Pelodiscus sinensis: one gene and its partners. The main gene of each other region encodes a partner of the protein of the gene in region 3 in a complex. Links are inferred from orthologs where the notes say so. Each region holds a gene or a part of one and is shown on either strand. Other genes may lie near its edges. The genes, in order: SEH1L, NUP37 and NUP43.

The links.
Region 1: NUP43 (region 3) and SEH1L share a complex: the UniProt entries of both Homo sapiens proteins name them as parts of the nup107-160 subcomplex of the nuclear pore complex. The link is inferred for Pelodiscus sinensis from reciprocal best matches to the Homo sapiens genes NUP43 and SEH1L.
Region 2: NUP43 (region 3) and NUP37 share a complex: the UniProt entries of both Homo sapiens proteins name them as parts of the nup107-160 subcomplex of the nuclear pore complex. The link is inferred for Pelodiscus sinensis from reciprocal best matches to the Homo sapiens genes NUP43 and NUP37.

Annotation. Positions count from the first base shown.
Region 1 is NC_134712.1:87,659,374-87,670,013, forward strand, and holds the start of SEH1L (nucleoporin SEH1), read left to right. Parts: upstream 1-6,754; 5' UTR 6,755-6,911; coding exon 6,912-7,022; intron 7,023-10,640. UniProt on the Homo sapiens protein: Component of the Nup107-160 subcomplex of the nuclear pore complex (NPC). The Nup107-160 subcomplex is required for the assembly of a functional NPC.
Region 2 is NC_134711.1:99,496,744-99,506,897, forward strand, and holds the start of NUP37 (nucleoporin Nup37), read left to right. Parts: upstream 1-6,040; 5' UTR 6,041-6,150; coding exon 6,151-6,192; intron 6,193-6,201; exon of another isoform or gene 6,202-6,259; intron 6,260-6,313; exon of another isoform or gene 6,314-6,470; intron 6,471-6,913; exon of another isoform or gene 6,914-6,969; coding exon of another isoform or gene 6,970-6,981; intron 6,982-10,154. Other genes in the region: PARPBP (PCNA-interacting partner), read right to left, coding at 2,976-3,129, 5,733-5,854. UniProt on the Homo sapiens protein: Component of the Nup107-160 subcomplex of the nuclear pore complex (NPC). The Nup107-160 subcomplex is required for the assembly of a functional NPC.
Region 3 is NC_134713.1:106,458,055-106,468,230, reverse strand, and holds the start of NUP43 (nucleoporin Nup43), read left to right. Parts: upstream 1-6,147; 5' UTR 6,148-6,255; coding exon 6,256-6,375; intron 6,376-7,278; coding exon 7,279-7,401; intron 7,402-7,661; coding exon 7,662-7,739; intron 7,740-8,757; coding exon 8,758-8,938; intron 8,939-10,176. Other genes in the region: PCMT1 (protein-L-isoaspartate(D-aspartate) O-methyltransferase), read right to left, coding at 479-710. UniProt on the Homo sapiens protein: Component of the Nup107-160 subcomplex of the nuclear pore complex (NPC). The Nup107-160 subcomplex is required for the assembly of a functional NPC.

The DNA of each region.
Region 1 (10,640 bases), on a different chromosome or scaffold from region 3:
AACTCCGGTTGCCTACATTACCACCCTAGTTCGAACTAGGGTGGTACTGTAGACATACCCAGAGTGATGCCAGCCCAGCCCCCTTGCTGGGATGCAGCCCACAGACACAGAAGGAGTGTTTCTGTTGCCATGACAACAGCCCCACTCCAGGCAAAGCCCTCCGAGACTCCTGGCTGGAGCAGTCATGCCTAGCTGTCGGAGCAGGGGCTGTGGGTCAGAGCTGGGGCCAGGAGTCCCACAGCAGCCCAAAGGCTGGTCTCCTGTTCTCAGACTTGAAGGGCCAAAGAGACCATCATGAGCATCTGGTCTGACCCCCTGCACCTTGCAGGCCCCAGAACCTCACCCACCCCTCCGGTCCAGCTCCACTCTCCCTGGCTGAGTTAGTGACGCCCTCACGTCACGGCTCAGCGATGGCAAGGGATGGAGAATCCCTTCCCACCCCGAGACACAGGGTCAGTCAGAGCAGGAGTGTTCTGGCCAGAGCCCCCAGCCACATGGTGGGGAAAGAATTGTCTGGAGCAGCTCAGCACAGGGGAGCCCACGTTTCCCTCTGCTGAGTGCAGGGCAGCTGGTCAAGTTCCTTTCACTCACCTGAGTTCAAGGGCCATTGATGGGAGCTGGGCAGCACAAATGCTCCAACTGACCCCCAGTTGCCTAAGCCCCTGTGTTGGGGGCACAACCAGGTGGTGGCTACCCCTCAAGATGACCCCTTCCAAGAGCGTTGCTTGGCCTTTACTCCAAGGCCGTGCTAATTCCCCACACTCAGTGCTAACCTGGCTGGTCAGCCACATCCGTAGGGGTGTCTGCTAACACCTATGCGACTCTATGGCCTTGAACCCAGATGGGTCCCCTCAGTTCGAGGCCACCAGGCCTAGAGGTCTAGTTGAGAAGTGAGACCCCTCTCCCTCCTGAGAAATACGGCCCAGAGGCCCAGTCCATAGGTGAGTCCCTTCTTTTGGGAGCAATAGGGCCTAGCTCAGAGGTGAGTGTACACTTACAGGGCACTGTCTTGTTACGGGCGGTGGGGTTAGCTGGACCCAGGTTCTGCCGCTCCACTGGGTCCAAGCCCCCGGCCCTGTTGGTCATGGAGCAGGGACTCCGACCGCCACACACTGAGCTTGCGAGGAACAATCCCCGCCCTGGGCACCTTCCTACCAGCTCTGATGCGTCTCTTCCATTGCGTGGCCTCTGGGCAGCATCCCATCCAAGGGCCTCTGTGACCATGGCTGCTGCTGGAGGCTCCTGCCACACCTTGTTACCAGGGCCGCCTCTAGTTTTTTTGCCGGCCCAAACAAAAAAAATTTTGGCCACCTCCTCCCCTTTTTTGTTGGCTTTTACACATATTTGCACTTTGCAATTTTGTTGGTTTGTTTGTTTTTGACTGTTTAAAAATTAAAAAAAATTAAAACAGAAAATTTTTACTTAGTGAAATAAAACAATTTCCTACTAGTGTACTCATTTAATTTTAACAAAATCACAATTACAAATAATTTGGGTTCAACGATACACTGTAATGAAAAACGTTAGTGTCTTCCGGTGCACCCAGTTTCTCCTAAATTAAAAGAATTTATATGAACTGAATTTTTCTGGTTTTTATACTTGTGTAGCCTTTTAATAAGTCAGTAATATCTAAATTTTTTGCAATGGTACTTTCAACTGAAATTAATGCGAGTCCTGGCAAACGATTTTGAGACATGGTTGATCTCAAATAATTTTTTAGTAATTTCAATTTTGAGAAGCTGTACTCACCAGAAGCCACTGATACTGGTAATGTTAAAAGAATGCGTACTGCTATAGCAGTGTTTGGAGTGAAAAAATCATTTCTTGCTATAAATTCTAATACTTTTAGAGGAGAAGTTTTAGGACTTATTAGCTCAGATAAAGCTACTAATTCATCATACAATTCTACTCCATCACTGTCAGCATAGTTATCAGTACTGAGTGCTAAATGTAGGTCCTGGCAGTGCTTCATGAGATCTTCTTTAGAAAACTGATTTTTAATATTTCCAATATCGTATAAAAATTCAAAAGTTTCACAAAGACTATGCAACTGATCGAATCTTTCTTCATGAAGGGGGCTCAGACCCATTTCAGTGGCATTTAGGAATTAACAAACATTATCAGGAGTAAGGAATGGCTGCAATACGAGGAAAGATTAATAAGACTGGGGCTACGTCTACACTGGCCCCTTTTCCGGAAGGGGCATGTAAATTTCACCAGTCGTCGTAGGGAAATCCGCGGGGGATTTAAATATCCCCCGCGGCATTTAAATAAAAATGTCCGCCGCTTTTTTCCGGCTTTTAAAAAAGCCGGAAAAGAGCGTCTACACTGGCCCCGATCCTCCGGAAAAAGTGCCCTTTTCCGGAGGGTCTTATTCCTACTTATTCCTACATTTTATTTAAATGCCGCGGGGGATATTTAAATCCCCCGCGGATTTCCCTACGACGACTGGTGAAATTTACATGCCCCTTCCGGAAAAGGTGCCAGTGTAGACGTAGCCTGGGACTTTTCATCATGGAAAAGAGACAACTAAGAGTGTAGGGATAACATATTAATGTATTGAAAATGATTCCCCCAAATGGAAGTGACTCCCCATAATTTATTCCCCACAACTTAAAGTGTTTAGATTTATTATTAATTCTTCTTCTTCTTCTTCTTATTTGTTAAGATTGTTAAATGTTTAGATTTATTATTATTATTGCCCCTTTAGAATATAATGTATTAGGTCATGTAACTTAGAACTGTTAAGAATATAATCCTATATAGCCAGAAACAGCCCCCCCCCCCGTCCCCCCCCCCCCCCCCCCCCCCCGTCCCAGGGCATGCTCAAGCTTGTGCAAGGGAGCTGCTTGAAATTGACATTGCAGAGATACATTGGAACAATGCATTGTCAAGCCACTAACTCTGCTATGGAAGCCAAGCCCTGTAATTGACTAAGGGCATTGTTACATAATTGACGCCTGTTCTCTTTAAAACATTGTAACTTTACTCAGCACTCAGAGACTGTTTTAATCAATACCACCCAGAAACTTTTGTAACTACAACTTTTATTATTATACAAAATACTGTATAGGAAACATTAATTAGGGAATGTATGTAAGAGAGAGAGTGCTTGTATGATGAATGAATGGTTCTGAGAGGTGCCAGCCTGAGAATACAGCAACAAAGGGCTGAAGAAGGCATCAGGTGCCAGTGCAACCAAAAGGTGTCAAGTGGAGAAAACCAAGTACTGGAGGTCCACCCGATGAGATCACTGACGAGCACCTGGCAGCCACCCTGAAGACATCAGCATGATGCAGCAATTTCCATAGACTGGCATAGGAAGAAATTCCTATAAGAACTGGACTAAAAAACTATGGAATCAGAGTCCAAGGTTCTGCTGCCAGCCTACCAGGAGCTTCAGATACGCATCTGATCAGGACTTTGCTCCCCACTACCATCACTTGTGTACAGAATACCTGGCCAGTATTCTGTCACAAGCAACTCCCAGGCTGGTAACTATAACAAATACACAGAACCTGAATGAATGGATGAATGAATGTTTATATGTATAAGGGTTAAGTAGTTAAACAATGTTGTTTGCTTCTATCTTTTCTTTATTTTTTTATTATTATCTTTACAATAAATGTGGATTTTTGCCTTATCCCCCTCATAAGATCCTGCTTGCTTTTATTTGGTATTACAAGAGGGGGAAATGAAAGAGGTCTATAAAATCAAGACTGCTGTGGAGAAAGTTAATAAAGAACTTATTTACTTGTTCCCATGACACAAGAGCTAGAGGTCACCAAATGAAATGAATAGGTAGCAGGTTTAAAACCAACAAAGTATTTCTTTCCTTAATGCACCGTCAGCTTGTGGAACTACTAGCCAGAGGATGTTGTGAAGACTAGGACTTTAACAGAGTTCAAAATTGAGGTAGATAAGTTCATAAAGGAAAAGTCCATTAATGGCTATTAGCCAGGATGGGTAGGAATGGTGGCTCTAGCCTCTGTTTGTCAGAAGCTGGGAATGGGTGACAGGGGGTGGTTCACTTCATGATTACCTGTTCTGTTCATTCCCTGTGGAGCACCTGGGATTGGCCCCTGTCAAAAGACAGGATACTGGGCTAGATGGACATTTGAGTTGACCCAGTATAGTAATTATTATGGTCTTATATTAACTTTGAGGATTTGGATCTGGGGAGGAGGGGACAAAGATTTATCTCTTCATGTATACTTGCACCATGCTTAGTACAGCAGGGTCCTGATCTCAGTTGCAGCCTGAAATGAGGGCAATGTTCAAAGACTGGATATTCCCCTAGGGTAGAATGAAGAGCAAACAGGTCATAAGTTCACCTCCAGTCTGGCACCAGCTTGTCAGTGTGAACTGACACTTGGTCAAGCAGATCCGGCTTGAGCCATTCCTGTGCCCCGGGCAGCAGGCGCGTGACACATGCATGGCTCTGCCCCAGGTGCATGGCGCATGCGCGGCCCTGCCCCCTGGCGCGCTGCACACCTTACAGCTGCAATCGGGCACATGGCCCGGCTAGCCCCCCCCTTAATCCGGCCCTGACAGGCACCTCCAGATGCAGTACCAGCACCTCCAGTCAGAACTCAACAACTTTTCCCCTGGAGTACCGGCAACTTTTTTTTTTTTTTTAGAAAAAAAGCATTGCGTGAGAAAGGTTTCAGGAGTTTGCCACCTCCTCCTCTGTGGTGGGGAGTAGGGGAGTGTCTTCCTTCCTGGTAAAACTTAAAATAACAACAAATAGTCTGGTAGCATTTTAAAGACTAATAAAACATGTAGATGGTATCATGAGCTTTCGTGGGCACAGCCCGCTTCTTCAGATGACCAGCTTCCTGGTGTGAACCATAAAGCCTTAAAGAAGGTAAATTAAAAAAATCCAACTCTGCAGTATTGCTTTTTAACAGAGTCTTGGTCAACTTAATGTTAATTTGAATGTTTGTACAATTAACTGCTGTTAAGCTTGCTAGAATAAGTAATTTTTCCAGGTGTCCTGGATTCAGTACAGGGAAATCTGGACAACCTAGTAAGGGGCCACCAGTCCCTTTACATACAGACAATTACTGCAGAGTATAAAGCCTTTGGGAGCCAGGCCACTGAGATGAATGAGGTGAGTGAGGGAAGACTGAAAGAACTGGGCTTTTTTAGTTTAGAAAAGAGAAGACTGAGGCTACATCTAGACTACACAGTTTTTCTGTATCCTGGAAAAACTGTTCCGCATCCAGGGAACGTGTTTGATCTTCCGCTTTTTCTGCAGAAGAGCAAATGCACTCTTTCAGAAGCCCCGGTATTGCTCGTTCCACAAGGAATAAGGGGGCTTCCGAAAGAGGGTTTTCCCCCCAACATTTGGCCCAGTCTAGACGTGCCAAATGTCAGAAAAGCCTCTTCCAACAAAAGAATCAGAAAAAAGCTACACAAAATGCAGAGCTCATTTTGCGTAGCTTTTTCAAAAAAAAAAAAAAAAAAGCGGCAGTGTAGACCTAGACAAAAAAAACCCACAACAAATGGTCTGGTAGCACTTTATAGACAAACAAAACATGTCGATGGTATCATGAGCTTTTGTGGGCACAGCCCCCTTCTTCAGATAACCGGAGTTATGAGTGGGCTATGTCCACGAAAGCTCATGATACCATCGACATGTTTTGTTAGTCTATAAAATGCTACCAGACACTGGCGTGCATATGGGGTATGCCGGGTGTGTGCAGGCACACCCTAATGTCTTTAGTTGCCAGGTGTCCGGTTTTCTACCAGACAGTCTGGTTTTTTGGGGCTCTGTCCAGTAAAAAAAAATCCAGAAAATACCAGACATGGCTGGTATTTTCTGGTTTTCCGACTGGGCATCCGGAAGCCTGGTGGAGGGAGTGGCTGGGAGGCGGGGCGCGATCGGTGCTGGGAGCCTGGTTGCATGTGAGGAGGAGGGGCAGCCCGGTCTGCGTTCCTGCGCGCTGGTCAAGCGCGTGGTGGAGCCACAGCCGGACTGACTCGTGCTTCACCTGGACTGTGCAGGGGGCAGGAGCGCCCTGGGATCTGCACTTCCTGGGTCAGTCCTGCTCCCCACCCGCTGATATGTTCCTCCCCCCGCCCTGCTCCCTCCTGGCTGGCCAATTGGTTCTCCCTCACTTCTCCTCCCAATCTTCCCCTGCCAGCCCCGTTGCACCCGCCGCCAGCCCTGCTTCCAATGGCCAGTTCTCCCCTCTTCTTCTGATCTCTCCGGACCAGGCCCTCTGTACCCAACCCCCGCCCCCAGCTCTACCTCCTGCTGGCTGGTTCCTCCTCCCGATCTTCCCCGGCCAGCCCCGCTGCACCCATTTTAAAAAAATTAAGTTTAGTTGTTTAGTTTCTTTAGTTTGTTTGATGAATAAAAATAATGTCCTTTATGATTGAGTCTTCAATAAATGTTCGCCTTTAAAAGAAACAGAATTCCCTGGGCGCACACCCTAATGCAATGTGCTGCGCACACATGCCTATGCTACCAGATCATTTCTTGTTGTTTTTTCTGTAACAGACTAACTGGGCTCTCCCCTGCAGCTCCGAGACCTAGACAGTGCTTTGTCCTGCCATGCGGGCGGGGCTGGACTAGATGGTCTCTAAAGGTCCCTTCCAGTTCCATGGCCCTACGAGACCCTTTGGAAGGTCGCTTGGGCTGGAGGCGGCGCATCAGCCCCGAGAAGAGCCGCGCAGCAGGAGGCGGGGCCACTTGGCGCTCCCTTCAGAGTCTCCAGCGCTCGCGGCCGCAGCCACCCCCGCGCGGCGCGTGACGCCTGGGCTCGCCCCCTGGCGGAGCGCGAGGGAAGCGCCGCTGGCACGCACGCGCCGCCCGCTCTCCTGGAACGCCGGGCGGGCAGGCGGGCGGGCTCTGTCCCGGGCGGCGGCGGCGGCGGGGGAGCGAGGCGCGGCCCGGCCGGGGGATGTTCGTGGCGCGCAGCATCGCGGCCGATCACCGCGACCTCATCCACGATGTCTCCTTCGACTTCCACGGGCGGCGCATGGCGACCTGCTCCAGCGACCAGAGCGTCAAGGTGCGCGGGGCTGGGCGGCCCCTTCCCCGCCGGGACGCGCCTGCCCAGCCGCTCGCTGCCGGGGAGGGCCCGGGGAGGGCGGGCGGGGCTGCGATGTCCCGCGCCAGCCTGGGCTCGCCGGGGCGGGGTGACCCGCGCGTCCAGCCGAGCCGCGCGCCAGGCCCAGGCGGCGGGAATGTCTCCCGGGCCCCCGGCTGGGGCGCCGAGGAGCCACCGCGACTGGGCCGCCGCGCGTCCCCCGGTGCGGCGAGGAGATCGCCGCCGCCTTGGGCCGGGCCTGCTCGCCGAGCCTCGCTCTGGCCTCCCTGGGCAGCAAGTGCCCCCAGCGTGCGCGTGTTGCGCGTTTCCTGGCAGCCCCCTCAGCGCCGCGGGGCAGGGGCGGCAGCCAGCCAGCCTTTCCCCCCTGCCACGTGTGTCGGCGGCCTGCTGGCTAGCGAGCCCGCCGTCCTGTTCAAAGCCCTGCAGGGAGCAAGGGTGAGAGACTGCGGGCAAAAGAAACGTCGTGCTGGAGCACCTTACCGGAGACGCTGGAGTGTTACCTGGCAGGAGGATCAGAGTTGGATTATGTAATTTGCACATATTTAAAAATACTCTTTTCATATAGGGATGTCACAGTGTAGACAAGTGAATGGTAATCAATTATCCTGGGTTTAGTGGTTAAAATTGTCGACTACACCTATTTCCTCCCGATGCCTCTTAAGTCAGCTCCCCGTGACCACCAGATCTGCCTGCCCAGCACCCACATTGCCTTCTCTGATAGAGGCAGTAGTATGGGGGGAAGGGGCAGGTGGGAGCTAGTACACATGGGGAGCTTTCAAGCAGGCTCCCCATGCATATTGGCTCCTGCAGACTTGTCCCCCCCCCCCACCTCCCCCCGTGTGCCTCCTACAGTGGCAGTGGAGGGGAGGCAGGCAGGAGCTGGTGCTGCGGAGAGCTGGCTTAAAGCTGGTTCCATCCAGCACTAGCTCCCTGGTGCCCTCTCCTCCCCCACCCCCAGCCACTAGAGGCAGCAGGGGTGGGGGAGGCAGAGGAAGCTGACACGAAGCAGCCTCTGTCTTCAGTGGCCGAACTCTCTGCAGATAGAGGCGGCTCCATATCACACAGAGCAGCTGCAGTCTGCGGTAAGCCTGGATCTGCTGTGGACAGAGGGTGTTCTGAGAGAGCCATTTCTGTCTGCTGGGGGTCTTGAGTTCCCCACAGACAGACTGCTCTGCATCCCATGGAACAGCCTCTGTCCATGGGGAGCTCTGCTCCTTTGGGGACAGGGGCTGCAGCTGCTCCTTGCTGCTGCCTCTGACATAGAGGCAGCAGCATGAGGAGGCAGGAGCTTCCCCGAGAATGTGGCTGGGAGTGTATTGGCTTCGCCCGCCCACCCTCCCATGGTTTTCCAAATAGACCCCTGGGGACTCTCGAATAGTCCTGTAACCACTAAGATTTCATGTGGTTACATGGCTATTCAATTACACGATACCTAACATTTGTACTTTAATATTTAATTCGCTGTTTCCTCCCTCAGTGAGTATTAAAATCATGGCAAATTGGGAATATATAGTATTGGCTGCTTTTAAGTTATATGAAGCTAATTAAAGGCTGGTCAAAGTCTTGAAGTCATGTTTTTGTAGCTTTCCTTTTACTCAAAAATAACTGGATTAATTTATCTCAAACTTAAACAACTATGGTCTGAGAACAAGTTTGTAAAAATTATCCGTGAAGGTAATGTGCTTGGGAAGGTTATGGGTGACTGTTAAAGGGGGGGGGGGGAAGTATGCTTCAAAATAGAGCTTTAGTTCCAGTGTTCGTTGCCTGAACTCTATAATGTAACTTTGCATTAGAGATGCAAATGGTTACCTGGTAAGCATTCCTTAATGTGGGGGTGGGGAACCTTTTTTGGGTCTGGGGTCACTGAACCACAGAAAAATCAGTCAGGGAGAGGGGGGCTGCACACAATTGGGGAGGACACAAAAAAAACCCCACACTGATGTGGCCCCTGACTGAGAAGGAGAAAGATACTCCTTATGTTCCCCTCACACACCAGAGCCTAGAGGGGCCTAGCCTAATAGATTTTGTGTGCTCCAGCCCTGCAGTGAGGTAGCAGGGGTGGAGGAGGGGGGCTGGAGCACCAGCATCAGCTCCCAATGATGGGGGGTGGCGCTGAGCGGGGGGGGGGGGGGGGGGGCCTAGATCCAGTCAAGCCGAGGGCCGCATGTGGTCCTCAGGCCTGAAGTTCTCCACTCTTGCCTTAATGGGTGTCAGGGAGCTGCCTGAAGGGCTGGTGTGTGTGGCCAGGGTGGCGGGTGGGGGCAAGCGGGAGAGAATGGCAGCAGGATGGCTACTGGCTCCCAGCCCACCCAGGGTTGTGGGCTGTGAGTTGGCAGGTTCGTGGGGGAAGCGCTGCCAGCTCCTAGCCCTGTGTGCTGTCAGTGGGCAGGCTTGTGGGGGAAGAGGGTGCTGCCAGCCAGCAGTTCGACTCGAGCTGGGAGCCAGCAGTCTCATCTTTTCTCCCCCACCCCATCTTCTGTCCCATCTCCTTGCACGAGGCTGCCAGATCCCAGCCCATGGGAGCCTAGCGGCCTGGAACAGCCCCCACCCACACCCGTTTAATCAGTTAATCTGTCAAACTTAATGTCTAACCAGTTAACTAATTAAATGGGATTGTATATCCCTACTTTGCATTTTAAAAAGTACCTTTTTATCAGAGAACCTTGAAAAGATTTATATGTATAATGCCTCCCAGTGCTTCTATAAGTCTGTCTGCTCTATAAATAGAGTGTAAATCTAGGAAATGGTTTGTAACAGTGGTCCCCAATGCGGTGCTCGCTGGTGCCATGGCGCCTGCTGGGCCATTTCTGTGCGCCCACCCAGTGATTGGGGCCGATCCCACCCCCAGGTGCATGGGCAGTGCCAGCCCCTGGGTGCGCAGCGTATTGGCATCTCTGCCCCTGGGCGCACGGCACAGGAGTGGCGCCGGCCCCGGATGTGTGGTATATGGTCAGCCCCACCCCTGGGCGTGCGGCACAGGAGCGGCGCCAGCCCCAAGAGTGCGGCTCACGGGTGGCGCCAGCACTGGGCACGTGGCATATGGGTGGCCCCGTCCCCGGTTTTAGAGTGGCCCTGCCCCGGGCACTCGGCAGCCCCAAAAGGTTGGGGACCACTGGTTTGTAACATGGTTGTGCTCTAAACTGGTTATAATCAGGGTGAGTGGCAACATGATTTACGTAAGATAAAATGGTGAATGAGAGAGGGGGCCAGGAATAAATTCCAGATTCAGTGTACTTATTCCTCTGAACTAACCAGTAATGACCTCCAGATCTTATTTGACAACATGGTAAAGGTGGATAAGGATTATCTCACATTTTTGTCTGGGGGGCAACTGAGGCAAAGAGGTTGTGATATGTCTGAGATCATACTTAAGTCAGAGGAGCTGGAAGTAAGGAATTCAACCTTCAGCTTCATGTTCTTTTTATTATTTCACAGTAGCCTACAAAGGAGGGGGCATCAGTTACAATTTCGTATTAAAATTATTTATTAAAACTTGCTGGACTAGGTAGGTTTATAATCTCTCTCTATATATAAAAAATGTTTCCTGTGGGACTACAGAGGGATGTCAGCACGTCACTC
Region 2 (10,154 bases), on a different chromosome or scaffold from region 3:
TCATACCTTATGTTTTGGCTCTCATGGAGATATTTAAAAGAAAAAGATGAAATCCCAAACAAGACAAAGCTCTCCAAGTTTCTTAATGGGAATTGAACTTATACAATAGCTCTGAAGGGAGCATAATGCAACAGGATTTATTTCCTTAGCATGTATCAGGGCACACCAAAATTATTTAACAAGGCAGTAAAAAATAAATAATCAGAAAGACAGACAATAGTGGATGGACTGGTTATTCACCTTAGCTAACAGACATCCTTTAGAGGGGTCATAGAGATGTAGCCGTGTTAGTCTGGTCTGGATACAATCAAATTATCAATCTAATTATCTCACCCATTACAAAGATAGCTTCCCCAATTATCACCTCTAATACTGTTATCTCATAGATACTCACCTTCCCCCCTCATCCTTCTTCTGTTCTAAAATCTGATTTGTCTATTTTGTATGTGTTCACTTTTTTTTTTTAATGGTATCCCTTTGGTATATATCAGTGGTCCCCAAACTTTTTAGGTTGTCGGGCGCCAGGGGGCGTGGCTGTTTGCCCGCCGGGCGCCAGGGGGCGGGGCCCCACCTAGCCGCGCACCCGGGGGCGGGGCCCCCCCATAGCTGCGCGCCCGGGGGCGGGGCCCCCTCCAAGGGCCACGCGCCCGGGGCCGGCGCTCCCTGCCCCTCTCCCGCCGAGTGCCGCGCGCCTGGAGCCGGCGCTCCCCCCCCCCCCCCCCCGCTGAGTGCCGCGCGCCCGGAGCCGGCGCTCCCCCCCCCTCCCGCCGAGTGCCCGGCGCTCTCCCCGCCAAGCGCCCGTGCGCCATGTGCCTGGGGCCAGGCCAGCCCCGAGCACCTGGCGGGCACACTGAAATGCCCCTGCGGGCGCCATGGCACCCGCGGGCACCGTGTTGGGGACCACGGGTATATATGGTCATGCCAATTTTCTTCCACAATTTGATCTGAGGAAGTGGGTCTGGCCCAAGAAAGTTCATCACCTAATAAACCATCTTGTTAGTCTTTAAAGTGCTGCATAGTCCTGTCTTTTGTTTCATCCTTTAGAGGGGAAACTGCTTTAATCTTTCATTCAGCATCAGTGACACTCCCTGGTCAGACTGATCTATAAGGAACTAAGCCAGTACATCATCATTCTAGGTAAAGTCCTAGCCATAGTAGTAGCAAACATCTGACCTCTCCAGTGAAATCGAATCTGGGGCTTCATGAGAAGTGGTGAAGAGACAAACAGAAGAGGGCCTCAAGCAAAATGACTCACTCTTCTCCAAGAGCAGAAGGCACAAAAAGGCAGCTAACTGGAAAATACATAGAGCCCTATAAATCTGCAGATATCCACTTTATATCCATGGGTATCCGCATCTGCCGGTATGGATGCAGATATCCATGGCACATTTTTGTGGATATAAATTTTGTATCCACACAGGGCTCTAGAAACATGCACCACTGATGCTTAAGCCCCAAAGCATCTTATATCAACTTAATTCTGTAAGCATCTCCACGACTATATTGTTCCCATCATTGTAAGTTGCCCACTGCACTGATCTACTAAGTTCAGCACTTCAAAAGGTGTAGCACACTTAGGTTGATGTAGTAGAGTTGATACAGTGTCAGTATAGACGCTACATTTCTTATATTGCCTATTGCTGCCTTTACAGCCCAAATCCCACTACCCCTCTGATGGTGGGACTCCAGCTGTCAGAGCCTCACTTAAATTGGTACAAGTGCTTCTTCTGAATATGAAAACTGCCAACAGAAGGTGTTTAATGTGGGGCACAAAGAACCAATTTAATTACTGCAGTTGCTATAGGTCAACCTAACTTAAGTTGACTTAATTTTGTAGAGCAGACATGGCCCAATACACAAACTGAGGGGAAAACAGGTATTCAGAACTCACCAAACAGATTAGGTCTCCATAGGTGAAGTCACAAAAAGGTTGTGGTGGATGGTAGAAAGGATTACCTTTAGAACTTGTAAGATCAGCAATTAAATATTCAATTAGGGGCAATCTTTCATAACCCAGGATAAGTCCTCCCTCTGCCTCAAGGAGAAAATGGTTATGAACAAGGATCTACAACCTCTGAGGTGAAGTGCCCTAACCACTGGGATGCTACAGGATATTCGGATGTGAAGCTCCCTCCGTCTTTCCTGTTGAAGCTGTTCCAGTATGTATAAATAATGTTTAAAAGTTATTAGAGCAGGGGGACTGGATCCTGGGTCTCTTACCTACTGGGTGGGTGCTCTCACTTCCAGGCTAGACTTACTCATGTTTGAATTATTTCATTATTTAATCTACAGCGGAGAGATACTTGAACTGAGGGGCATTTCTCCTCTATCCCAGGTGAGTCACCTAATCACAGGCCAGAAGTTATGAGGGAGGTCCTCCTTCTCCCCTCCTCACTCCAGCTTCTTAGTAAAACAGCAGAATCACTTAATGCTAAAAAGGTTTTTCCCCTGAGAATTCCTAAGTACTGTAAAGAGAGGAACAGGGCTTAGTACGCACTGCTCATCTTGGCGCCTCAAGCAACGAATCACCTAGCATGCTGACTTTGTGAATCCCATTCTGAGTTGCCTCTTTCTCCCCATTCATTGTACAGTGGCATCAAACTCAAGCTTTGTGAATACCAGTGATTTTTTAGGCATCTGAATGTTAGGACAGGCAATGCTCAGCATTACTACAGTGAGCTCTTTTGTGAATCTACCCCCTAGTGGCTAGAAGGAACACTGAAGGAAAAGGGAGTGACTGAGAAATTACATGAAAAAAGCAAATCGCAGAAATATCATTGTAATACTGAAGATGAAAAATTACGCATACAAAACAAACAAAAAAATCAGAAAGCTAACATTTTAAAATTTTAAAACTAATATTTTAAAATGTGTGCCTTAAGTTAAAGCTCCTAAAGCTTATTAATGCCTGTTATGTTTAGTCTGATTTTCAAAAGTGCTAATCACCCAGCCGCTTCCATTGACAGAGTACAAACCTGTTTATTGACTTCAGCCATTGATAACTGTAAAGCCATCATCATGTAGTCTGCACCACAAACAGTAGTCCTTTCTGAATCAGAAAACAAGCACCACTGTCTTCTAAAACACTTGATCATATTTAAGATCTTTTGCTGAAAGACGGCCATATTCCTGAAGTGGAACACAGAGAGAATGACTTAAGTCCATACAAATAAATGCAATTTTAAAACCATAATTTTCTAAGTAACAATTTGGGGACACAGCATCCCATATTTGTCAATTTGTCTCCGTTCTCTTTAATGCTAGGCAATTGCTATGATTACTTCCTCCACATTGGGGTGGGCAAAATACAGCTTGCAGGCCAGATTTGTCCCACCAAACACTTAGATTCAATCTGCCATGATCCTCTGAGCTGTTAATGCCTGCCACAGTCCCACAAGCTGCTCAAAGCAGCCGGTTGCTGGGGCAAGCACATCTGTATGTGTGCATCCCTTGATGGCATGGGGCAGTGGGTCTCTGCATACTGCCCTTGCCCCCAGCATCATCCTCCCAGCTTCCATTGGCTGGAAACAGGCCAGTGGGAGACGCATGAGTGGTGCTTGCGGGAACAAACAGCTCACAGAGACTTGTTGTCCCCACTCTCCAAGGGGCATGCAGAGACATATTTGCCCTAGCAGCGGGCCACTCTGAGTGGCCTGAGGGGCTGCAGAAGGCAGGCAGCCAGCCTGCCTGAGTGCTCCCCCGTAGGCCACTGGCTGAGAGCCGCCTATGATAAACACCTCCTGGCCAGAGCCTGTAACTCATGTCCCTTCCTGTATCCAACTGGTCATAACACCCTCCTGCACCCAAACTCCATCGCAGACCCTGCATTGCCTCTGAACCCTCACTGATGTGGCCCACAACTGAAACTCCTCACTCCCCTGGAGCTCCAGCCCCATGGGGGAGGGGAGGTGAGAAGGAGAGGGAGAGGAGGACTGAGGATTTGAACCCCTTAGGCTCTGGAGTGGGGCCAAAAATGAGGCGTTCAGTGTGTGGGACAGGGCTGCCAGTGAGTGAAATAGGGATGGAGGAGCAGGATCTCGGCAGGAAGCAGGGTGAGGAGGGGCTGAGGGTGCAAGGTCTGGGTGGGAGGAAGTGTGTAGGAGCAGCCTGGGGCCAGGTAGGGAATCTGGCCAGGAAGGAGGGTGCAGGAGCAAGGGAGTGTGGAGGAACCAGCTGGGGGTAGGGTGTCTGGCCATGGGGGAAGAGGCAGGAGCAGGGGTGGAGACAGAGTGTCTTGTCAGAGGGGAGGGGGCAGGACCAGGTTGATCTGGCCAGGGAGGAGGGGGACAGGAACAGGGAAGAGGACAGGGTGTTTGGCCAGAGGGGAATGGTGCAGTACACCTGGGAGGGGACAGGAGTGGGTTGGGGATGCAGGGACTAGGCAGGGAGCTGGTGAATGAGTGGGCTGGGGGTGCAGGGTCTCAGCATAAGGAAGTTGGGGCACTTACTTGTCGTCAGGCCCATGCCAGTCAGAAGTTCAGCCTCTCGCTGCTCCTATTAGCCAGAATCTGGCCAATGGGAGTGCAGGGAAAGTCTCCAGACAGCGAGCTGGCACGTTGCTGTCCTCCCAGCCTAGGTGAGGGAGCGCTTCTCCATGCAGCAAGGCTCAGGGCTCTCTCTCCATCCACCCCACCCCCCACAGTGGGAAGTCAGCACTGGTGCTTCAACTGCAGGGGGGAGGAGGGAGGGAGAGGCTACAGCGCCAGGCAAAGGGGGCCCAGGCCTCTCAGGTAAGTGCTGCCAGGCACCTCCCTCATCTACATTGCAGAAGTGCCACTCATTGCTGCAGCCTCGCATGTGGCTGGGCAGGAGGAAGCCAGTCTGATCTTGGGAGACAGGCTGGGCTTGGATCTCACCAGGGCAGCTAGGCCCTGGGCTCAGGATGTGGCCACTCAGGGCACAGAGGAGGATGGGGCAGTGGGCAACTGGGAATGGAGGACATCTTGCCCTGTGCCTGGTGCTTGTCCTGAGCCTGCTGGACCAGCAGCCCATGAGCATCAAGAACAGTAGTGGTGCAAGCAAACAGCCTTAGAGTAAGTTGTGGTGCCCCAGAGTGTGGGATCCTTCCTCTGCTTCTGTCATGAGTGGGCTGAGCCCTGGGCCTCGCACCAGCCAAAGCAGCCCCTGGGCTGGGGAATAGGCTGCCTGAAAGACTGCAGCCAGACCTGAGTGGGCAGGACCACTGGGAAGCAGAATCTGCCCAGGCCAGGCAGCTTTGCCAGTCCCTCAACAGCATCCAGGGCAGGTAGCTCGTGCGAGGGCAGAGCCTGTAGATGCAGATATTGTTCTGTTGTCCCACAGGAAAAAACATGTTATATATAGACAGACATTATGTAAAAACTATTTCCTTCTCTCAGTTTTGAATTTGTTACCTTTTAATTTCATTGAATGTTCAAAAAAACCACAACCCTTCATGGGGAGCCTGGGCTACTACATTTTATGTGCTCCAGCCCTGCAGGGTGTTGGCAGGGGGCTGGAGCACCAGCCCAGGTTCCCCAGTGTTGTGGGCCAGATCCAGGCAAGGCATAGACCACATCTGGACCCCAAGTCTTAGGTTCCTCCACCCCAGTCTAGTTTACTTTTTAAGACAATGGGACCAATCCGACCCACAGTCTTCCAAACAATGCTACACCTTCATGTTTCCTGTAAAAACTGAAACTTTTAACCCTCTTTTAAATGGTAGGCACCCGCACACCTGCACCACTAGGCACATGCCTCTGTCCTCTCCCTACCTGGAAATCCAGCTCTGGGAAGGAGACGGGAACGGGACATGACTAAAAACTGACACAGTCCTAGGAGGGGTGAGGAGGCCACAGGGGGCTCCTTGCCATATAGTGCCGTCCCTTGGCATCATCTTGTCATAGCCCCCCCCCCCCCCAGGCGAGTGAGCCCCAATCAGGAAGGAGGCTGGGTTGCCAACGCTGGCTCGCCGGATTCCTGGAGATTTCGTCCCATGGCGTGACGTAATTCCGGGAGGCTCCCGGGCAATCCTGGAGGGCTGGCCCCACGAACCTCTAACGCCAGAGTCTGCGCAGAGACGCGGCCCGGGGCAGCGGTCACGGCCGCCGTCCTAGTCGGACGGGGGCAGCACCTGCTGGGGAACGACCCAGGCCACGGGAGACTCCAGTCCTGGGGACACCCCGCCCTTTCATGGACCTTTCATGGACCCCCCTGGCGGCCACCAAACAGCGGGTGAGTTACCTGTGCGGCTGGGACAGCTCGGCAGGTCCCGAACGAAGGGGGGGGGGTGGGAGGGAGGAGGAGTGGTTGGTTGCCTGGTTACCTAGTCGCACGCACCGGGCCGCTGGCGGCGGTTTAAATTTAAATCTACCCCAGCTGTCCAATCAAAGTTGGGGGGAGGAGTTGCCTCTGACCCGGAAACGGAAAGTGCCCGGGGGGCGGAAGTGGCCGTGAGCTGCCTACAAACTCTTCGCGGGAGAGAAAGTGGCAGGCGGTAGGGAGCCATCCATGTGCGTAGGTGGCGGCGCGCGCGTATGTCGTTTGGCGCGGCCGGCGATCACCCGCTGGTGTCCAGGCCTTCGCTCCCGTTGTGGGAGGGGCCCCTTGGAGAGTCTACCCTGTCCGGGGCTCTCTGGGCTGCAGCCCTTGTTCTCCCTCAGCCCCCCGCCCCCCCCCCGTCTCCGCTTCTTCTCTGGTCCCCGCCACGCTCCGTCCCTTTCCCAGCTGTGCCCTGGGTGCTGCGGGCTTGTCCTTCCTTCCCTGCCTGCCTGCGCCGTGTTGCCAGGGCGCGCTCCCAGCGGAATAATGCTTTGCTGCCAGCCCCAAACGTTAACCCCTCGTGGGTCGGGCCCCTCGTTTTCGGGAGATGTGTGTTGGGTGGGGAGGGCTCAATTCGCCCAGTGGGTTTGGAGTCTCCTGGATACATTCGGTTCTCAAGTGTTTTCCTCTGCAGCTAACAGAGACTTTCTTTAGATGAGATGTTTGACTCCAGGAGCTGGGACCTGAAGAATGCTAAATAGGGCAAGTATCAGAGGGGTGGCTGTGTTAGTGTGAATCCGCAAAAACAAGGAGAAGTCCTGTGGCACCTTATAGACTAACAGATTTATTGGAGCATAAGCTTTTATTGGAGCATAAGCTTTCGTGGGCGAAGACCCAATTCACGGACAAAGTGGGTCTTCGCCCGCGAAAGCTAATGCTCCAATAAATCTGTTAATCTATAAGGTGCCACAGGATTTATCCTTGTTTCTGCAAATAGGGCAAGGTTCATCATAAAATCACAACTTAGCAACATTGATGAAGCTTTCCCGACATTTCTTCCCCCAAAGAGATGAGTTCCCACTCTACTGGGTTATAACATTTGAAATCTTCATAGGATACTAATGTACAGGTGACCAATAGGGATGTTAAAATGTGTTTAAGTAAATGTATGAAATTTTCAGTCATTACGCACAGAGCAGCAGTCCGCTCCCATGGAGCTGAAGCATACTGGGAGCCTGTGTGAAACCATGAAGATTAATCCATGAGCCTGCCTCATCAGTTAACTGTGTACACAGTTATATTTTCACATCCTTCGTGACCAAAGAAACTGAGCCAAAAATTATTCATAATTTTTTCTCTTAACGAATGACAACTCCACTTGTTTTAACTCAGTCCTTTGAATCTTTTTTCCTTATCAATTTGTTTGCTCTCCTAACTTGCTAGATATTTATTTGTACTTGAGTTCAGCGCTCTAATAGGTCTTATACCAATGATCTCTAACCTTTTAAGCATGAGATCACTTTTTGAATTTAAATGCAGTCCAGGATCTACCTCAAACACCTTCGCCCTGCTTCCTTTCTGTCCCTTCTCTGAGGCCCTGCTCACTCCATCCTCCCTCCCCCATCCTCACTCACTTTTATCAGGCTGGGCAGGGGCGGCCCGTGAGCCTAGGTGACCTAGGCAGTTGCCTAGAGCACCGCTGGCCCGGGTGCCCTGTGATGACATCACAGCCATTAAAGGCTGTACAGGCGGGGCGCCAATTATGCCGCCTGCCTGGGACACCAGCTGCCGCAGCCAGCCTCAAGCCACTCCTGAGGCTGGGGACAGGGGTTTGGGGTACAGGAGGGGTTCAGGACAGAGGCTAGGGTTCAGAATGCAAGCTCCAACTGGGCACTGCTTACCACAGATGGCTTCTGGGTGGTGGTAAAAGGGACTAAGGCAGGCTCACATCCTGCCCTGGCCCTGCACCACTTCCAAAAGCAGCCAGCAAACTCTCCATTTCTGCCCCCCTCTGCTCTGTTGAGATGGGAGTACAGGGTGGGGGGAGGGGCACCCTAACATCAGCAGTCCCCCTTCTTCTTTCCATGCCCTGCACAGCAAGCAGGAGACTCCCAGAGGTGAGGAGCACCTTCAAGGCAGAGGGCAAGAGCAACCCAGCAGTGCTGAGAGGGGCAGAGGAAGTGTCAGCACTTGATAGCCTTCTGGCCAAACCTCTCAGGATCACCTGTCAAAGGTTCCAAGATCTGCCAGTAGATCCTGATCTACTGGTTGGTGACCACTGCCTTATTCCAAGGAACTGTGAGAAGTGCATCCATCATTTGCCTTTTTCCTCACTGAAAGCAGAGAGGAGCTCAGAAGGCCAACTGACTATGTCTGGATTAATAATGTGCATTTGTCCATCAGAGACAAATCTAGACACATGCGTAGATAACATTGACACAAGACAACTTGCATCAGCCTTATTTCATAGTATAGAATAAGCCTTACAGTTCTGTTTTCTGACATTTATTTTGCATTTTTGGAGTATCTTTAAGCCAAGTGTGCTTATAAAATTAAGTAGCACCACTAAAATGTAGTTATCCTCTGCACTAGAGTGGGGCAGGGAAGATTTTTGTCCTTTACTCACATGAAAAACTCCCTGAGATCTCTAAAATTCATATATATACTTTGCTTAGGGATTTGAATATATTGGAAATGTGAGGATTCCTCCACATCAGTGTAAACTGTTGAATGCTAGTGGACTGGATAAAGAAAACTGTCTCAAACTACATGTAACCACTAGTTTTACAGCAGATCTGAATTGGTAATACAGGCAGTCCCCGACTTACGTCGGATCCGCACTTACAAACGGGGCTTTCTCGCCCCGGAAGTCGGGGCGAGAAAGCCCCGTTCATAAGCTGCTCCGGTGCCCCTGGTCTGCTGGAGACCGTCTCCAGCAGACCAGGGGCACCGGGCGGGTTCCCGCGCCTCTGAGGCTTTGCTCTGGCAAAGCCTCAGAGGCGCGGGACCCCCCCGCGGCTGCGGCTTCAGTCCGGGAGCCTGTGGTCTGCTGGGGATGGTCCCCAGCAGACCACAGGCACCCAGATTGAAGCGGCAGCAGCGGCGGTTCCCCGCGCCTCTGAGGCTTTGCTCCCCGTGTCCCTGGTCTGCTGGGGGGGGGGGCAGCTAGTGTGCTCCCCCTCCCCCCCAGCAGACCAGGCTTTTGTTTTGGACTCTGGGGCAGAGCAGCTGGGGTGCTGCCGATTGGTCCTGCAGCGCCCGCTCTGGGCACTACTGGACCACCCCGGCAGCACCCCAGCTGCTCTGCCCCAGGTCCTGATTCAGCCGCTGCTGGTCAGTTTCAGCAGCGGCTGAATCAGGACGCCTGGGGCAGAGCAGATGGGGTGCTGCTAGGTTGGTCCATTAGCACCCAGGAGTGGCGCTACTGGAGCAACCCAGCAGCACCCCAGCTGCTCTGCCCCAGGCGTCCCCAAGTCAGCTTCTGCTGAAACTGACCAGCGCTGACTACAGGAAGCCCCAGGCAGAGTTGCTCTGCCCCGGGCTTCCTGGAATCAGCTGCTGATCAGTTTCAGCAGCAGCTGATTTGGGGATGCCTGGGGTTCTTAAGTTGATTCTGTATGTAAGTCAGAACTGGCGGTCAGTTTCAGCAGTGTCTGAATCTGGACACCAGTTCCGACTTACATACAGATTCAACTTAAGAACAAACCTACAGTCCCTATCTTGTACGTAACCCGGGGACTGCCTGTACTCAACAAATTTGTTGGAAATATTGTTTCATCTGGTTTTAGAGCTTTATATTGAAGGAGTATCTTTACTGAATATTGATTTATTGAGGGGTGGAAGTGGAGAGAGTGTTAAAACTTGGTACTAGAGATGTAAAATCCCAATTAATCAGTTAAACATTAAGATTAACTGATTAAGCAGACTGCTGCTGT
Region 3 (10,176 bases):
CCAGCCGCGCTCACCAACGGCTCGCGCCGCCGGGGCTCGGTCGGGAGCCGCAGCCTCGCCGGGGCCGGGACCCCCGACCCGCTGTGGGCTCTCACCGGGCTCCCAGCCCCGGCCACGCGTCGCCCCACGCAAGGGGCGGAGAGGAGGGGACGCGGGGCAGGCGGGGTGACAACAGCCGCCGCACGGCAGCAGCTCGGGTCGAGCCTGAGCCACCGCCGCATCGCCAACAGCAGCGGCGGGCCCCCAGGGCGGGGCAGGTCCCTCCCTTCCCCCTTCAACACACAGACGCGGCTGCGGCCCCGCGCCCACAAGAGCCGGGTCCCTCGCCAGCGCGCCCCGCCCCGCCCGCTCAGTGACAGTTGGTCTCTTCCCAGCCCAGGAGGCAACGTGACGTGCTTGGGGCCGGTAACGGCCGAGGAGGGGGGTTCGAGCTGTACACGCCGCGGCCCCTCCCTCGCCTGGCCAGCCGCAGACTCACTGCGTAAGTTGTGGATGAGCTCGGAGTGGCTGGAGCCTCCCGACTTCCAGGCCATGGCCAGACACACTCTGCGGAGCAGGTACAGAGCCGCCTTCAGCGCCGCGACTGCGCACAAGAGCTTGCCTAGGAACGACACAACCTCTAGCGCCGACCCAGGCGCCGCCTCCTCTCCTCCAGCCGCGCGCCCGCCAGGGGGAGGGGCCGCGCGCCCACCGCCCCGCGCGCCCGACATTCTCAACGGCCGCCACCCGCTTGCTCTGCGCATGCGCACCCGTAGAAGGGCAAGGGAACGCCATGGGGAGGGGGTTGAATAGCTTCGCTGAGGGGGGCGTCGGGAGGAGGTGTCGCAGCGTTCTCGCTGCCTCGTGATTTTAGCTGCTGCTCACGTATTCACTGCACGGGAGGATGTGTGAGGCCTGCATAGGGAGAGGCTGGGACAGGCAGTCGGGGTTAGGGGGGAGCAGCGGGTACAACCCCACTCTTCACTCCAGCAAAGACTGGAGTGTTTGACATTTGGGGCTTTGTTCAGGCCAATCTGTTATACAGGCAAGGGCAGAGATGTGAAGTTTGAACCTAATGCCAGGCTCCTCCAGAATGTGCAGAAGTGCTGTGGTTCTGGGGCTGGCCCATAGTTATTAAATGGACTGTGACAGCGAAGGTGGAGTTTACAGCTTTTTCTGTGACTTCCATCCTGGCAGTAGATGAGTGACAAACATGATCATTTTCTGCAGTGTCCTTGAAAAAACCGGATAAAACTAAGTCTCGGTGGAGTCCAAGAATGCAAAAGTTATATATGCTTGTAGGTCAGTATTATATGTACCATGCCTAGGGGGCAAATGTGTACCTTGGGACATTATTGATTGCTGTGTAATTACTATGATTATATAGCAGGAACTGGCAAGATATGGCCTGCAGGCTGGATAAAACCACAAAACCTTTTAATGTGGCCTGTGGCCCACCCCGTGATACGGAACACCTCTGCTCAATGCAGCTGATTGCTCCCTCTGGCTCTCTGCACTGCAGGAGTAGGAAAGGGAGAAGGAGGCTTCTCATGTTGCCTCTGCCTCCAGCAACATTTCTCTGCTCCGATTGGCTGGAAACTGATTTGCTGGGGGGCAGCACATGAAGCTTCCCTCTGCAGCGCATAGAGCCACATGGAGCTTTGAGTGGTCAGGGGCTGTATCCCTGCCTGAAAGTGCTGCTGGCTGGGAGCTGCATAGGCACCCCACCTCCATCCACGTTCCAATTCCCTCCCGGATTCTGCACCCTTTCCTACACTTGTCCTTCAGGCCAGAATCCTGCACCAGGTCACCAAATGCTCTACACCCTCCTGTCTCTCACCCCAGGTTACAATTCCTTCCCAGAACCTGCACCCTCTCCTACGCCCTTCCCTAGCCAGAAACCTGACCTGCATCCATACCCCCTCCCAGATCCTGCACCCCAATCCCTTGCCCCAGGTCACAACCCCCTCCTCCCAAATTCCCTCTCAGACCCCAGACCTTTTACATCCCAGTCTCCTGCCCCAAGTTTCCTTCTGCACTCAATTTCCATCCCAGAACCGCACCCCCTCTATAGAAAAGTGCAACCCTTGATTACTTACTAAAATTTTGAAGTGGCCTCCCCATCAAAAATTATTGCCCACCCTTGCTGTACAGCTAATCTGTGTCATTCTATTGATTGTAATGAGTCAGTGTTTTGAGGACAGTTAAATACATGACAGAGTACAGGCAGTCCCCGGTTACGTACAAGATAGGGACTGTAGGTTTGTTCTTAAGTTGAATCTGTATGTAAGTCGGAACTGGCGTCCAGATTCAGCCGCTGCTGAAACTGACTGCCAGTTCTGACTTACATACAGAATCAACTTAAGAACCGCAAGCGTCCCCAAGTCCGCTGCCAGCTTCCCCGAGGCTTTGCATAGCCGCGGGGCGGGGGGGCTCGGCCAGCAGGGCATCCCAGGCGTGCCTGGGCTGCCCCGCTGCCCGAGCCCCTCCGCGGCTTTGCTCTGCGTCTTCCTGGTCTGCAGACCAGGGAGACGCAGAGAAAGCCCCAGAGTACACGGGCGGCAGGACCGCAAGGTCCCGCAGTCCGTGTACTCGGGGCAGCCTCGTTCGTAACTGCGGATCCGACGTAAGTCGGGGACTGCCTGTATCTCATTGCTAGACTACTTGGTCCACTTGTCACTGACCTTTAAAGATTCTATGGCTGCATGCTAGCTTAGATATCAGTACTTGAAAGACTTCACATGGCATTGCTATCTTGTCTGCACAACAACTGAGGCAGGTGCATTCGGGACATCTTAAAGTGCACACACATACAATGGGCCTCAAGGAATAGGCTCTCCCTTTACATAACATAGATGTCACTAACACAGACCTCTAAGCAAGTACAGTGAAAGCTTTGTTATCCAGCACATGTGGAGAATGCGGGTTGCCAGTGTGAATATGCCGGATAACAAAATGTATCACCCTGCCCCACTGACACATCTAGCTCCTGACAGCTTGAGGCAGGCTGAGAGGGAAGGAGGCACCTGCTGATGATGTCAGTTGGCAGCGCAGGTTGTCAGAAGCCCTGCAACGGCTGGCTGGACAGGCAGGAGTCAGGTGCACGTGCCTGAAGTGGTATTGTTGCTGGGGGCAGTTAAAGTTTTCCAGTTAGCATAGTGCCAGATAACACATTTTTCATTGTAATTCAATTGTAAATTATGTATTAGAGTAACCAGTATTACTTGTCAATAGAAAGTTTAGTGTTTATATATGATTAAAAAAAACTAAGGAAATTTTCAGAAAAGAACTTTAAGGCTGTTTTGTAGTGATACCACAAGGGGGAAAATATGTAAAAGAAAACAAATTAAGGTTTCAACAGAAGTTAATTTAATCTCGTCTGGGACATCAGACATTCAAATACCATCATAACTATATGATTATTGCATGCTGTCATTACAGGGCCGAGTAAAGGTTGGTTGGGTGCCTACATTGCATTTTTGTATTTTAACATGTTTGGGTTTCTCTGAATTTCAAGAGTTTATAATGCTTGTTTTTGTGATTATTACAGGTCTTCTAATTTTTTTTCTTCTCTTAAGTTACCAATGCATGTTCCCAGCCTTTACTGCATCTTAACGTACTTTTTGTCTGAGAATTTATACTGGTTTGACATTTAATTAAGGCTTATAGCCCTTGTTCCAAGCAGTTAAATTCGCCCCCAAAATGACAACAGACTCCCTAAATTGGGAACTGGGAAAGTGACAACGGTGAACTGTGGAGTGGAAATGTGGGGGCTATGAGAGTGATTGCATCTAGCAACATATCAACTCATTCCTTTAAGATATTTAATTTAGATAACATTAGGGAGTATAGTTTAAAACTCCATCCAACCCTAGGGCAACATAGGATTTCTGCTTTTAAATGGCCTACAAAAATCTACATTAAATTAACTGCAAAATTAGGAAATACCAAATTAACATTAGACTGAGCTATGAGTCAGGGCTATGGATATGCTACAGACCTAACAGTGGTGCAGCTGCACCAAACTAAAGGTTCTAAAAATAGATTTAATCATTAAAGGAAAAAGAAAGAAGAGAAATACAAGTGATTAGAAGATCAATATACAGACAAGTGACTTCCAAAGTTCATCATTCAGGATCAGAGCAGTGATGGAATGAACTGCTAGCTTGCAAAATAGTATCTACAAGCTAATTTGTTTATATTGTTAAACTTCTGACAAGATATACATGTAAATACAGATGAATGCCCTACCTTTGATTTCTGTTACTATAAATAAATGAATTGATTATTGCTAGTCGAATACATCTATTTGACACTAGTGTCTTCTGTTAAGTTCTTACGGGTCGTAAACAGACTGACTGGTCTGTCAGTGTCACAAAATAAAGTATAATTCAAGGCAGAGTGGCCTGTTAACTGCTCTGCAGTTATAGGACAAAAAGAGGGGAGTACATGTTGTTGACATATCTCCACTGCTACAGTGACCAATACCTACCACCTCACCTTGGAACCCATACCTGGTATCTTCAGACAATTACAACCCATACTCAATGGGGGACCTCCATCCTAAAAGCTATATTTCCAGAACTTCCACTCCTGGCCTTCAAACAACTTCCCAACCTTTCTGAGATCATCATAAAAAATAAGCTCCCCCTACACTAGGACACACCAACTTAAAATCAATAAGAAGTCCGGTGGCATCTTAAAGATTAACAGATTTATTTGGGCAGAGTGTTTTTGCCCATAAAAGCTTATGCCCAAATAAATCTGTTTGTCTTTAAAGTGCCACAGGATTTCTCATTGTTTTTGTAAATATCAGCTCAAAGTGGCACCAGAGCCTGCCAGAATTACAGCTGCAAAACCTAGACACATATCTCTACTACTACAGTGATCAACTTTCCACACAACACATCTTTCAAGATATAGGGATCCTACATATGCCTATTACAACATACGATATACCTCATCCAGTGAATGAACTATGTGACTCAAAACATACAAACATTATGCTCTCAAACTCACACAGGAAAATGATAAAATACAAAAATGCCTTATCACCTCTGGTTGAACACTTCAGTGATCGCTCTATTTCTGACCTCTCAATTCTCATCCTCAAAGGACACCTGGCCCTTTTAAATTTCTGGGCTCTAGGGTAGTAATAGAAATGTAGCCATATTAGTCTGGTGTAGCTGAAGCAAAATACAGGACTATGTAGCACTTTAAAGACCATCTTGTTAGTCTTTAAAGTGCTACATAGTCCTGTATTTTGCTTGGGCTCTAGGGTAGTTGCTTTTTTTTGCTCCCACCATCTCATCTCCCCCCTCCCTACTATGTCAGTAATAGACCTAAAAGCATCAATGTCAGCTAAGTACAAATCCCAACAGGTGGTTACTTTCTTAGTAGTATACGGTACTAGTCCACTTTCACCTGTGGTATTAATGGCTAATCTGCAGGTCCAGAGTTGGCATGCTACACCGTAAATGTGGTCAGCAGGATCCTGTTTGAGATTTTTGTGAAGCTCTGTTAGGCTGTGTCTACATTGGCATGATCTTGCAGAAATACTCTTTAATGCAAGAGTTCTTGCGTTAAAAGCATTTGTGCAAGAGAGCGTCTACACTGGCATGTGCCTTTGCGCAAGAGATGTGCTTTTGCGCAAAAGCATCCGTGCCAGCGTAGACGCTCTCTTGTTCAAGAAAGCTCTGATGGCCATTTTAACCATAGGGCTTTCTTGCGCAAGAAATTCATGTTGCCTGTCTACACGGGCCTCTTGCGCAAGAACAGTTGCACAAGAGGGCTTATTCCTGAGCAAGAGCATCATAGTTCTTGCACAAGAAGCACTGAGTTCACACATTAGAACTCAGTGTTCTAGCACAAGAACTCCCCACCAGTGTGGACAGGCAGCATGTATTTATGCAAAAGTGTGTGCTTTGGTGCAAGATCATGCCACTGTAGACACAGCCTTAGGGTTTGGAGGAACCATATGGGTTAAATGCAAAATGACCTATGAGCACGAAGCTGGCCTAGGAAACAGGCAGGCGTACAGTGCAGTCCCCGCCCCAGGCAAGGTTCCATTTACTCCCGTCATGTCCCGCCCACCTCTGAGCGTAGTTGCTGCCACAGAGATTTGTACCTCCTCTCTTGCCGTCTGCCGGGAGGCTTCAGCCAATCGGGGAGAGCTTGGGCGGAAGAGGCGGGGTGACGGCAGCGGGAGCCTATCGGGGCTGCGGACGAAGTTTGTGCTTCTCGGTGGCGCTTGTCCCTTTCGTTGCCGCCGCCAGCATGGAGGATTTTTCCGCCAAATTCGTGTCCCAGAAGATCAGTAAGACGCGCTGGCGGCCGGTGCCCGCTGCCGCCCTGCAGCCCCCCGAGCTCTTCGCTACCGGCTCCTGGGACAACGAGGTACCGGCCCGTGGAGCCTCTAAATCCGCCCCCGCGCTGCTGTCGCGCCCCTGCCCGTGGGCTCGAGCCGTTATTAGAGCGCGTCTCGCTCCGCGCTGCCAGGGGCTCCCGGGTGGGCCGCTGCTCAGCGTTTGTGGGGGGCGGCGCGTTTGTAACAAGTGTCATCAGCGGGGGGTGCCGGGCGAGGCCGCGTTTGCCCCTTGCTGCGCCTCGTGTTGCAGCGGTGCCCCGGACCCCTCTTCTCTGAGCGGTGCCCGGAGCCGCCTCCCTCCTCCCTGCCACGGGGTTGGCGTGGTTTTCTGTATTTTCATATCCTACCGGTGGTACACGGGCTTTCAGCTTTCTCAGTTAAATAAGCTGAGCGCTATGTAGCTAATTGTGTGAGATCTTAACAGCTAAGCTCCTAGTTTCTCATCGTGAAGGCTGAAGCTCCTTGCTGCACAGTCTCTGTGTGTGTTTCGTTTGCCTGGCTTAATGACCAAAATTTCCTCCTCTTCCGTGTGTGGTGTGGACTGGCTCTCTCCTCCTTGGAACTGGCTGCATTTGGTGATGTAGATTTTATTAATGCTTAGCATTTTTCGAGATTAATATGCTGTGTAAATACACACCAAATATGGAATATTAATTTTCTTGTATATTTAATCTATCTCTATCAAAATGTAATAGTTTGTTAGTCTCTTTAGGAAGAGAGAAAATTGAGTTGACTTATTGTTTCTATTGTAGCTGTAGCTTTGTTGGTCTCAGGCTATTAGACATGAATGAAGTAATATATTTTATTGGACCAGCTTTTCTTTCTGACAATATTTTTGTAGCACAACATTCTACCTCTGCCATCTTGTCTCAACTGACTTTTATGGCAAGTGTGTCTTAAAATAAGCTTGTTTCACTACTCTTGTCATACAGGAAAACAAGATCTCAATTTGGTCTGTTGGAGACTTTGGAAATGTGGGCACCAGTGGGGAGTATCAAGGAGAACCACAGTTGCTGTGCGATATCAGACACCATGGTGATGTTATGGACATGCAGGTAAAATAGTTATATCCAGTAGCTGTTTTTTTTTTTTCCTTTCACTTTGTTAGAAAATGTATCAGTAGGATATCAGAATATTGAGAATCAACTAATGTCTGCTAGGGGGATATTGTCTAAATACAAAAAAATTATGTTTGGAAATTTATATGTACATTCTGAAATTATCTAGCAACCAGTAAGACTCACAGATTCACATAGTAATGCTTCTGTGATAATGTGCTCAAACTGTGTAACAAGCTTAAGATATTTCTCTTTAGTTTTTTGACCAGGAGAGAATTGTAGTTGCTTCATCAACAGGAAGTGTAACAATTTTCCGTCACCATCAAAATAATCAGGTAAATAATTTGTTGTGGACATAACTTTCTCTTGGTTTCAGTTACTGTTGCTTCTAGTACAAGTTTTTTTGGGGCTCTCAAATGCATGACTTTTCAGAACTATCAAAACATAACGCAGCTGAACTCAATTAGGGATATAAGTGACTAGTCAACTACCCGATATACATAAGCTTATCAGATAGTCAAGTAGTCACTCGACTAGTTGCTTCTCCCCCCTCCTAAAGCCAGATGGCCCCAGCACTGTCTCCACGGAGTAGCAGGGGAGGCAGAGGCATCCCTACTGTTGCATGCCTCTCTGAAATGTACAAGAGCCACTTGCGGCTCTTCTACATTTAAAGGGAGAGGCGCAGCGGGATTGCAAGTGCCCCCTGTTATCGACTAATTGAGCAGTTGATGGGAACTCCATCAGCTACTTGATTAGTTGATTAATCAACATTTAATATCTCTAAACTCAATAAGTTCTAAATTCAGTAAATCAGGAATTAGGTTATTTTTTAAAAAATGTGTAGAATAGTCTGATATAGGGATGTAACTGTATAATTGTTTACATGGTTAACTGATAGGCCTGGACTATCGATTACCATTAATGATTACACGCAGACTCCTGCCTTGCTCCCGGGGAGCTAGCTGTCACTCCACACTGATGGCTCTGTATCAACAGTTACACAATTACCCAGTTACCCCTTTTTAACACTGTGAGATAATGTTCCTGTCTATTGGTCACACTGACTCTTAAGAATAGAGCACTGAAAGATCACTGTGTCTGTCCATGGATATTCACATCTGCTGATAGAAATGTCTATCTGCACAGGACTCTATGCATTGGTGATTAAAAAGGAAAGCTATCCTCTGATCTGTAATGATGTGAATGACTCTTGAAATAATGCAGTGTGCTTTGTTTATTTCAGAACTAGTTTCTGATCTAACTTCTTTACATATTTCAAAAGCTTTGGTTTCTAACGCTGTTGCAGGATTGTTAATTAGCACTGTTGATACAGTCTCTTTATTTACTGCTTAGACTTTATCTATTAATCAACGATGGGAGAGGGCTCATTATCATGTGGATCCGGATATCCCTTTCTGTGGTGGAGCTTCATGTACAGGGGTCATCTGCAACAATCCAGAAATTGTCACTGTTGGAGAAGATGGTCGAATAAATCTTTTCAGAGCTGACCACAAGGAGGCTGTGAGAACTATAGGTAAGGCTAATAACCACTTTTTAACAAATGGGGTCTAAAGAATTTATCTGTACTCACAAAATGACCAACAAAAAAAGAAATAGCTAGTAACTTCAGAATTGTTCTGAATGTCTCAATAGAATCTGTAATGAGCAATACACTGGATCTAGAATATTTGCTATTTTACACTGCATTTAATCAATGCAAAAAATTCAGGCTTAGAACTACCTGCACGCATGCTTTTTTCCCAGCTTCTGCAGTCTTGCATTATTTGTCAGTTCTTTAAAATATATTTAAAAATATTTCCTTTTGAAACATAATTATCAAGATCTTGACCATAAGTGGTCAGTATGAACCCATTCTTCTTTCAGAGATGGTTTTTCTTTGTTCTGGACAAATTCCAATTTTTGTAATTTTGTTTTGTTAGCTTCTGGTATTACATTGGTCCTTCAGTTCTCTTGCAATTTTTTTGTGGTTCTGCGGTTTTCTCTGTTTGTGGGACACCCTTATTTGTACAGAAGAAACAATCCTCATAAGAGGTGAAATATATGAAGTAAACTGAAAAATATTTTTTCTCTAATTTTTCTGTAATAATAATACTGGATCAGTCCCTCACTTAAATATCTAACAGATTTTCAGATACATGTGTGTAGGAAGAGGTTAGGTAACTTTTCTTTACTTCTCAGGCAATGTTCCTTCTAATGTTTTATGGTCCGTGTACGGAATGCATTTTGTGTTCTCCAATACAGAAATGATGTGTGACACAACATGTCCATATTGGTGCATATAAATTCCGTGCACATTCTGCCTACTTAATAATCTTACTGTTAAAAAGCAGCTGCAATATAGGATTATTTACCATTCCATTCCTAATCGGGGGAGGGTGGAGGATTTTCTGTTTAGCTGATATGTTCAACATATGCTAAGCAGTCAGAGTGCTATACTCTCTCTCTCTCTCTCTCTCTCTCGCTCTCTCTCAAAAAACAAAAACAAAAGCTTTTCCTGCCACATGACAGGATGATGTCATCAGGCTCTCTGGCCATGAAAGTGGGGGATTGGCGAGCATAGCAAGCGGGGTTTTCATGACCAGAGAGCAAGGAGTTGGTGAGCTGAGTAAGCAGGGAGCATCCCCTAGTGTGACAATATTTGTATTAAAATCTACTGCACAACAGGGGATCTTAAAAAAAATATTTCCCTGGCCTTTTTAATGAAGGGACAGAATATGTGTTAAAAAGAAAAGATGTGCTAGGAAGGATTTT